2 linked regions of the Cricetulus griseus genome follow. The protein of the gene in region 1 purifies or fractionates together with the protein of each later gene. This does not show direct contact. Links are inferred from orthologs where the notes say so. Each region holds a gene or a part of one and is shown on either strand. Other genes may lie near its edges.

What was found. Proteins that work in one complex are often made in the same cells at the same time.
Region 2: the proteins of Iqcb1 (region 1) and Exoc1 purify together in Homo sapiens (affinity purification with mass spectrometry; 3 studies listed by BioGRID and IntAct, counting the BioPlex papers as one, with this or other methods). This does not show direct contact. The link is inferred for Cricetulus griseus from reciprocal best matches to the Homo sapiens genes IQCB1 and EXOC1.

The regions. Positions count from the first base shown.
Region 1 is NC_048597.1:53,158,963-53,164,569, forward strand, and holds the start of Iqcb1 (IQ calmodulin-binding motif-containing protein 1), read right to left. Parts: upstream 3,758-5,607; 5' UTR 3,621-3,757; intron 3,178-3,620; exon of another isoform or gene 3,152-3,177; 5' UTR 3,077-3,151; intron 92-3,076; 5' UTR 72-91; coding exon 1-71. Other genes in the region: Eaf2 (ELL-associated factor 2), read left to right, coding at 3,950-4,055. UniProt on the Homo sapiens protein: Involved in ciliogenesis. The function in an early step in cilia formation depends on its association with CEP290/NPHP6.
Region 2 is NW_023276807.1:142,974,397-142,979,351, forward strand, and holds part of Exoc1 (exocyst complex component 1), read left to right. Parts: intron 1-2,221; exon of another isoform or gene 2,222-2,429; intron 2,430-3,152; 5' UTR 3,153-3,162; coding exon 3,163-3,286; intron 3,287-4,238; coding exon 4,239-4,369; intron 4,370-4,955.

The DNA of each region.
Region 1 (5,607 bases):
TTCTGTTCAGGACTTTTTGCTACTTCAGCAGCTAAAGACAAGATCCTTGGATCTGTACCTGTTGGCTTCATTTTTTTTTTTTTCCTACTACCTGTATTTTAACAGAAAAAAAAGTTAAAACAAACAAGCAAAAACTCAAAGGTCAAATATCCAAAGGATCAGAAACTGTGCTAGCTTTACACTCACCCTCTCTACACAATTCTAGGATAGAATTCATATAGGAGAAACAGACTGTAGGAAGAGTTGATATGTCAGGCTTCATACAGCTATTTCTTCAAAGGTCAGTTTACAAGGCTGGCCCTTGGCTATTATCTAGAATGCAGACTTTGGAAGGATTTTTATTGATTTCTTATAAGCCTATAGATCACTGTTCCTAAACTGTTAGAAAAATAATGGTTGTGGTAAACAATCTGCTTTTCCTATAGAGCCCAAAAATTATTATTTCTCTGATTTTCAATACTTAATGAAATACCTGAGATGAAGTATTTTACAAAGAAGTTTATTTGGCTCACAGTTCTGAAAGTTCAAGGGTCTTGTGCCATGCTTAGCTCTGGTGAGAGCTGTCTTGGCTTTGCCATATGACAGATGGTATCATAGCATGCATGGAAGACATCAGATAGCAAAAGATACCCAAGAGAGACTGAGAAGGGGCCAGCTTACTTTTTGTAAATCTTCTCTTAAGGACTATCAAAACTTTTACAGAAACTATATCAAATCTTTTAAGGTTGGTGATACCAATTATTTCCCACTAGGCCTTACCTCTTCAAGATTCCACCACTTCTCATCATTGATATCAAGGACCAATCTTTCAACACACAAACCAGCAAAAATTCTAGTCACTGAGTATCTCATAAGCTTCCCTAGTAGAAAACACTTTAAAGGTGTTGTCACAACAGTTTTGCTTGAGAAATTGTGTGTGTCCTATGTAATTCTAATGGGAAAGGATCTTGGAAGACCAGGCCTGGTTTCCTCTGGATGTATCCCATATGGTCTTTGACTTTGATAACTTTGCTTTGCTTATCTTCACTACAAATTATAGCTAACAAGTAAGATAATACATGAGTTGAGTCCTGTAAGCCCTTCTACCTAATCACTAAATCTGGAGATGGTTTGGAAAGCTCTAACATACTAGGCCTCAGAAAGGTTATATAATTACAAGAAAATTAAAAATTTTTTATATTGAATCAACTCTAAAATGTAAAAAAAAGTCCACATCTGAATTTTCTTACCAAAACTTCTCTATATGTACTAAAGTATTTGAAGCTTAATAGTATCATTTAATATAAAACATTTTTAATTAATAAAGGATAATATATATTATGGGCTAGGACCTGTGCTAAGTAGGTTTTAAAGCATTATTTTATCCTCACAATGGGATAAAATTATGGGACTATGCAGCAGTGCCCATAATCATCTCCAATGTGCAGTTAAAAAATAAATAAAACTTATCTGGTTATAGTGGCACATGCTTTTAAACCTAGTACTTGGGAGGCAGAGGCAAGTGGATCCCTGTAATTTCAAGGCCAGCCTGTCTATGTAGTAAGTTCCAGGGCAACCACAGCTACATAATGAGACCATCTTGAAAGAAAAACCATTAATGAAAAAAAGAAAACTTGAAGAAACTTGTCACAGCTCCACCAATATATGGTAGCATTAGTTAGATATCAGTCTAACTACAAATCTTGTGATTTTACACTTATTCTTATCCAAAAAAAAAAAAAAAAGCCGAGAAGCTATAAAACCTGTGATTATTTATTTATTTATTTATTTATTTATTTTATTTTGGTTTTTCAAGACGGTATTTCTCTGTATAACAGTCCTGGCTGTCCTGGACCTTGCTTTGTAGACCAGGCTGGCTTTGAACTCACTGAGATCTGACTGCTTCTGCCTCCCAAGCATTGGGATTAAAGGCGTGTGCCACTATTATCCATCAAAGCCTGTGATTTTAATTACAATGTTCATTTTTTTTTCTTCCAGGTAAAACTATAAACATAAAAGATATTTTCAAATAATCTAACTCATTTCTTGGCTATTATTCTGACTGACATTATGGTCCCATCTTTGTATTTACAAGTTGGCTGCAATATAGTCATTCAAAAATCATCTTTCTTCTTGGGAAAAATATAAATCATTCATAGACAAGTTCACTGAAGCCATTTTAAAGAAAGACCAATAAAACACTTAGCATTGTAGAAGATACAAAACTTTCCTATAGAATGCATGTTAATTATCTTACTCTTTCCAGTGTCTGCATTATCCTATCTGTTCTTTGTGAGAGTGCATTGAAATATACTTAAACATCTCATTCACTGGATGTCATTTAGGTTGCAAATTATTATATACAATACTGCAATAGAAATCCATGTGCAAGTAAGTATGTATGCACTCATTTGGCCCACAGAACAAATGCCCCTTGATATTAGACGGCCAAAAGTCAACGATCTTAGCTTCTCAAAACAAATATTTCCATCTGTAAGCAAAGCTGCTATTCCTAGGCCCTGCAATTCAAAATTTAGAAGGTAGCCACCAATGATGTCTTAAAATACGAAAGTATAGCTGAATCCTAAATAAGCATGCCCTATAATTGTACTTGCTTGCATGTATTTCATTTAACCATCTCAACAATTCTAAAGGAGGGGCATTGTTTTCTGCATAGCTATTATCATTACTTCCCGAATTCTAATGATTCTAATGATAAACGCGTTTGTTTGAATTGCTTGCACAAAGTCACAGCGTTACAATGAAACTGGAGTACAAGCTCAGAGATTCTGGCTCCAAAACCTTCGTGTCTAATTATCATATAAAACAGTCTCCATGCACCTTTAGAGGGTAGAAGGCAAACCTAATCACCTGTCCACCTGGAAAAATACATTGACATATCTGTTTAAGGTAGAAGTGGAGGAATGATACAATTAGCCTGAAAAAAAAAAAAAATCATCTGCTGGAGCAACTCATTGCATGGTTTTACTGAATTCCCTTCTAACATTCATAATGAATGCTTTCTCTCACTTTACAATGATGCTGTGAAGTGTCAAGAGGAAAGGGAAAAAAAAGACAATTATTGATCAATTCATACGTTTACTCTGTTGCTAGGCCGATCCTTGAGGAATCAAGAGTCCCAGGCCGTGCCCTTCACTGCCTCCAGGAATCACTAGGATGGAAACAAATGCCAGAAACCTAATGCAGTCAGTTACCCCTAGTCCTAAGCTTCATCCCCCCGCCCCCCGCGCCCCGCGCCCCGCGCCCCGCCCCGAAATGCTCCCTCCTCAGACCCTAACCCTGGCGGGAAAAGGCCTGTGGTGTTTAAAGGTTAAAAAACGGCCCTCAAGGGAACTGCATCACTTCCAGTGGCTTCCAGTCTGGTCAGGGCACCGACGGGGTAGCGGCTGGGGTTCTAGAACCGGCCGGGAGCTACTAGGCCTCGGGAAGCCACAGGCCTGGGCCCAGCCGCCGCCCCTCCTCAGGCGTCCGTTTCCAAACCTGCGGGCCAGGCGCGGAGGAGGCCCAGCTCCGGTCACCAGGCCCCGCCAGCCAGTTCACTAGGTCGAAGAGCCTGGCGTCCTAGCTTCTCCGCCCCCTGGATGCCTCAGCCATCCCAGGCGCCACCTCAGCTCTGTTACCTCATCTTCGCCTCGCCTTCGTCCACCTCAGGCCCAGACCCGCAGCGCGCACCTCAGCACGGCTGCGTTCGCCGAGCTGCGTGCGTCGCGACGCGGGAAGGGGGCTAAGGGCGGGAGAGGGGGGCTAGGGGCGGGGCGGGACCGCAGGGGATGGGCGTGGCAGCTGTCTCCAGACAGCCAATCAGGACGCGGGGCCTCCAAGGGGCGGGCGCACGCGCCGGAGATCCCAGCCCGCAGGCAGGGACCGAGCTCAGGCTCGCGGCCGGTGCAGCTGCTTGGAAGGCTGCGACAGCGGGTGGCGAAGGCCAAGTGGGTGGCAGAGAAAGAGAATGAATGGACCAGCGGGACTCGCGTACCTGGACCGTCGCGAGCGGGTTCTCAAATTAGGCGAAAGCTTCGAGAAGCAGCCGCGCTGTGCGTTCCACACCGTGCGCTGTGAGTGCGGGCTGCTCGGGGTACCCGGGAGGAACCTCCTGGGTGCTGTGTGGGTGGGTGACATGGAAGCAGACGCTTCGGAATTCTGTAATTCTGTCCCCGCGGCCCTTTGCGCACCGGGAAACCCGATGGCAGCATGATCCACTACACGGTTCCCAGTCTCGGCGCGGACACCTGGTGTCCTGCAGGTGTAGGAGAACCCTGGGAGGATTTAAGAGGGGCTGACAGGCAGGAGAGGACGTTTTGTGGGGAAGATCTGTAGGGGTGGCTGTGGAGACTAGCATGACAAGTGGATGGTGCAGCGAGGAAAGGTGACAGACAGATGGAACAAAGGACCGAATGCGGGGCAAAAGGGATGTTTAGAGGCCACAGGGACATTTCTTCCCCATTTTCACTTGTCCTCTGATGACGGTTCTCGTTTTAGTTTGTGGGGAGAGACTGTCAGCTATCTCAATAGTTTGTATCTTTTTTTAGATCTCAAATTTCATGGTCAGCTAAGTACTGATTATCAAAAACTGAAAGGTGAGGTTTTAATAAGTTATCTTTAATATTGTTGGAAAATTGGTTACAATGAGCCTTTTGTTTTAGTAATTACATGATATAGATGCCAGTACGAAAAAATATAGCATACTTTTGTATGTAAAATTTCTTTTTTGCATAATAGGCCTCAGAGTTCTAGAGCATAAAGGAAACATCGTTGAGTCGTGACCTCCTGTGTGTGTGTGTGTGTGTGTGTGTCTGTGTGAGTGTGTGTGACAAATTGTGAAGAGTTTTTTTTCACATCTTTTTTTTTTTCCAGCCCAGGTGTTCTTTACTGTCTCATTGTTTTACCTTCCTCAATCATTCTGTCCTTTTTCTTATAAAGTTTATATTCTGAAAACACCCTATTTAAACTCAGCCCTCAAAGTTTAAGTTGTAAACAATCTAACTATAATAACTCAGAGGAGATGTAGGAAGAAACAATGGTTTTAATTTTCAAATGATATGTTTACACTTTATTAAAAGGTTTTATTATGCATGTTTTGGTGGAGTAAACTGGAGAGATTTACCAGCAGAGCGCCAATGATGTCCCTTGTTTATTTTGCCCTGATGACAATTCAGACGACTTCCCAAAATGAAACAGGAGCAAGTGCTGTGCAGGTCCTTGTGTTCTCTCTCTCTCTCTCTCTCTCTCTCTCTCTCTCTCTCTCTCTCTCTCTCTCTCTCCCTCCCTCCCTCTTCAGTTTCATTTTCCAAAAGTAACATACTCTTCTTATCTGATCTCTCAATGCCCTTTCCCCAAGTAGCATGTCCTTTCCTCTTCCTTCTCAGATATGCAGTAATATTTTATTTTTCAAGCTACAAGGTTTAAAATAACAAAAAAGTTATATAGAGATAGATTATATTATTTTAAATTTTACATGTGTATATGTGGGCCTGAGTGTATATATGTACATCGTATGTATGCAGGTGCCCTCAGAGGCCACAAGAAAGCCTCACATCACTTGTAACTGGACTTACCAGTGATTATCAGTCACCTGATGTCAGTGCTCAAAATGATTCAAGTTTTCTG
Region 2 (4,955 bases), on another chromosome or scaffold:
CTCTCTATCAGCTCCTGCCTCCAGGGTCCTGTCCTGTTTGAGTTCCTGTACTGACTTCTTTTAATGATGAACTGTGATGTGGAAGTGTAAGCCAAATAACCATTTCCTTCCCAAGTTGCTTTGGTCATGGTGTTCATCACAGCAATAGTGACCCTAACTAGGACAAGGACTTAATAACATGGACACTCCATAATAGAGTGGAGGTTAGGGTAGGAGAATGTGGAGAAGAGAGAGAGCACTAGGAAGAATTATGCTTCCTGGTGCGTTCTCTGTGGGGCAGGAGAGGAGACTAGAGTTGAGGATAGGAGAGTAGTAAGAATTTGCAACTAGAGTCATTAAACTGGGAAAGGAATTCATCAGAGGTAGTGGTAAAGAATTGTTGGGCGGCTTGAAACCCCAGCTTGGACTGGGTTTAGATATTGGCAGTGATGCGACACACACAGCTTTTTCTGCTGGCTAGTGGCCTTAGAGAAGTAAAGAACAAACGCTGTTTATGGAGATTGATGATGGAGAATAAATTGGCCTGCAAGTATGGTTAAAATGATCAAAGGGGATAGCTACTGTGGGTATAGGGAAATGAGTGCCACCTCCAGGCTGGCTTGGGAAAGAAGTTAGACACCTAAGGCTCGCGATGAGGTGGATGAAGGATGGAGATGGAAGGTGTAGGTTAGATGAGAAAAAGTTTTGCACTTGGAATATGGATAGAAGCTTCACAGAGTAAAGTGTAGAAGAGGCACAGTTTGTAGGATTTCTACAAAGAAGTCATTGTCCTATAAAAATTTAATTAAAGCTCATGTTTTCTTCCTTTTCCCATCGAAAGAAATGGTATTGTAAGAAATTAATCTCAAAGGCACATTTGCATTGGAAAATAGTAGATACATAAAAGGAAAAGCATTTAAATTATTCTCATTAACAATTGAAGTTTTTTTAAGTAAAACTACTTTATTATTTAAATCTAGGCAGGAATATACAATATCAAAATTTCAGGAGAAAAAATTCTGAACATTAAGAGTAAGTGTAAAAATGTTCTAATATGCTTATATTCTCCATTTGCCTTTTCCTTCATTCATTCACTGTATTGTGGGGCACTTCCCATAGCTTTTTAAAAAATAATATAAAACTATTCTGTATTTTATTCAATATTTAGGTTTTAAACATTTTTAACATTTTTTATTAATTTATTTTTTACATTCCAATCCCAGTTCCCTCTCCCTCCTCCCCTCTCGATCTCCCCCATCCCTCTCCCCCAGTTCTCCTGTCCTCAGAGAGGGTAAGGCCTCCCCTAGGAAGTCTACTAAGTCTGTCCCATCATCTCATTGAGGCAGGACCAGGGCACCTCCCCACCCCCAGACCCCTGTGTCTAGCCTTAGCAAGGTGTCTCTTCATATAGAATAGGCTCCACTAATTCAGTTTGTGCATTAGAGATAGATCTTGGACCCACTACCAGTGGCCTCATATATTGTTCCAGTCACACCATTGTCACCTGTATTAAGGGAGTCTAGTTCAGTCTTATGCAGGTTCCCCATTTGTCAGACAGGAGTCAGGAAGATTTTTTAAAATTAATTTAATGTTTGAAGAAAGACTGAATTAGATGAGAAGAAAAGAAATGGAAAGCTACTTTTACAGTGATCTTATGTGTAATTCACTTATAAGATTTCCCCACTTGGTGTCCTATCATTATTTAGTATATTCACAAGTTTTTACACCATCAAACTAAGTGAAGAACGTTTTTCTCTCCCCATTAGCAGCTGTTTCTACTTTTCATTGCCATCTCCTAGCAACTGCTCATCTTTCTGTCTTCATGAATTTTTTTTTCCCCATTTCATTATCTGTCCATTGATGAACATTTGACTTGCTCCTACTTTTTGGCTACTGCAAAATGTAGTTCACCTTCTGTGTCTGCAGGTTCCAAATCCATTCATTGAACCAGCCACCAAATGAAGATATTTGGGGGAAAATGGTTTTTGTGTTGAGCAAGTATGGAGTTGTTTTTTGTTGTTGTTGTTTTTTATCTTTAAACAATACAAATAACAAGCCTTATATAGCATTTGCATTGCATTTGGAATTGTAAATAGTCTAGAGATGATACAAATCTGTAGATTATATTCTAGCATTCTATGTTAAGGACCTTAGACATCTGTGGGTTTGGTATCTATAGGGGGCCCTGGAGATGGTGCCTCCCCACATATACTGAGGTTGGTTGTCATGTTTCTGTGAACACTCACATGTGAGTTTTTCTGTGAATATCTTTTCATAATTTCTTTTGGGAGCTGTGTGCTAGATAACAATGGTAGTTGCATGCATGACTTTGAAGACCCCACCAGACTGTTTTCTGAAGCAATCCCACCAGCTGTATGGAAGAGGCTCCTTCATCAGTACTTCTGTTGCGATCCTTTTGATCCTTTTTAGCTTCCGAACATGTGAAAGTAGTAGGTATCTCACTGTGGATTTCATTTGTGTTTCCCAAGTGGTCTATGATATGGAATGGTTTTGGTTTCTTTTATGAGTCTGCCAAAAGCCAAAGAGCAGCTCCATACAGTTTTCCTTAAGGCATCATCCATCCCCTCCCCCTTTTTTAGACATGGTCTCTCACCAGACTGGCACTCCACAAATAAGTGAGGCAATGGTCAGTGAACCCCAGGGGTCTGCTTGACTCTGTCTTCTCAGTGCTAGGTTAAAAGCAGGGCTCACCATGCACTGCTTGTTGTGTGAGCTTTAGAGGTCAAACAAGATGGGGCTTGTGTCATTCTTGTGAGGAAGCGCTTTACCAACAGAGCTATTGCCCCAGCCCAATACTGAACACTTTTTTTGTATATTTATTGACTATTTGTATGTGTTGTATGTGTTTGTGTGTGCATATATGTATGTATGTGTATGTATGGATATGAGTATATATATGATTATTTGTGTCTGTGTTTCCACTTTAAGTGTTGTTGAGCACTTGGAAAGATTTTTTTACTGTGACAATACTAGTTTTTTTCTGATTCATTTCCAAACTTGTAGCCTCATGCTTTTATGATGTACATATATTAATATATTTATGTGTTTACTAATGAAGACTTAATCATTTGAGTTGTAAATGGAACAGTTTATGAGGGAAGGCAGAGATTTTGATAATGAGCACAATACCTCTATCCTAAATTCTTTTTCAGCTGAGAAAAGATGACAGCGATCAAGCACGCGTTACAGAGAGATATCTTCACTCCGAATGATGAGCGCCTGCTGAGCATTGTGAATGTCTGCAAAGCAGGCAAAAAGAAAAAGAACTGTTTTCTGTGTGCTACAGGTGGGCATTTTTTAAGCAAAAATATGTACTTGATAATCCTTCATTCCTTAGGGTCATTTCTTTCTTTTAAAAGTATTTTCATTGTTTCTATAACTGGAGAAAATTATTGAACTGACAAATTAATTTTTAATTGTTTCTATTGAATATTTAGTGTGTGTAAAAAAAATTTTATATAGTGTAAGATGAGAGCTCCAGTATCTTTGAATTGCCATCGTCTTCCTTACTCCATTCCACTTTACAGCAACAGGTGTCTGGTCTCCTGAATCTTACCATGTTCCCCATGTATGATTTCCAACTATATATTATTTTGTTTTGCTTATCTTTAAACTTTTAATTAATTGAATTATAATTCTTTGTGACCCCTCCCATTCAACAGTACCTTCATGAGCATTTTGTTCATAATTGTTATTGTTTGGAGAACCATTTGCTTTTCAAATGTATCAGCATCCATTCCAAATCTAAACTCCATTTGTTGCCAGAGTCATGTTTTGAAACTAGAAACTAGAGCATTCTGTTTCTGTAATAGCAGCTCGTACTGCCTTAGATGGAGCCCTTGAAGAACTCAGCACCGTCTTTTGTGGTAATTTCATTTCCATCCACCTTCTATTACACTGTGAGGCCTGCATTGGATCATTTCCTCTTGCTCTTTGTGATGACATTAGGCTCTTTCAGGACTCTGCACTTACACATGTCAATCATTAAATTTCCCTCCTACGCCCTTTAAAACAGGTCCTAAGCTATACCTCTCAAGGCATCTGTCTGCCTTTGACCTTCTAGTCTGATTTAGATGCTTCCTTTAGGATTCTGTGAATTCCTCAGTTGACTTATTACAAAATATTGCACTTATTTTAGTGTCACCCTACCAGGCACCTGAAAGTGACATTTACAGTGAGTGAATGAAGATGAGTAGATGACTAAAATTGCTAACAGTCATGTGTATCTTGTTCAACAGTGACAACTGAACGCCCCGTGCAGGTGAAGGTGGTCAAAGTCAAGAAATCTGATAAGGGAGATTTCTACAAAAGGCAGATTGCTTGGGCCCTTCGAGACCTGGCTGTGGTAGATGCCAAAGATGCCATCAAAGTATGTTTTCCATAGTCCTTGGACTTGGGGTCAGAAAATGTCTTTCATGTATCCGTAGTATGGTGTGCCCTGAGATGATCTGAACTTGTTCTGTGACTATAGGCCTGCTATCTGTTGGACTAAAATACATGAATCTCCACCTCTTTACCCCCAATGTTAAACTGCTTAAAATAACTACATGCGCATGTGTGGTTCAGTTTTTACTTTGCTAAAATTACAATTACATTTATGTTCAAGATACATAAACTAGAGCAAAATAATCTTAATACTATGTGTTTATTTAAATATGCTTAGAAAATTCTATAAACTAGTATGGATTTTAAAGTAATATGTTGTATGAGTTAACTTTCTTAAAAATACTCATTGTTTTGGTAAGGTTTGGTTCAAAGCATGTATGATCTACATAAAGGAGCCATCCTTCTTTACTCCTCCTGAGTGAAATGAAGGTTCACCACCCAAGACAGCCAATCTGGACAGTTGACATTTGTGGTTCAATTAAAGGAAGTGATGGAAGGCGGGTTACACACCTTATTTTGAGGTGATTAAGTAAAATTTTAAAGTTATAAATTTGATACCATGTTTGTGT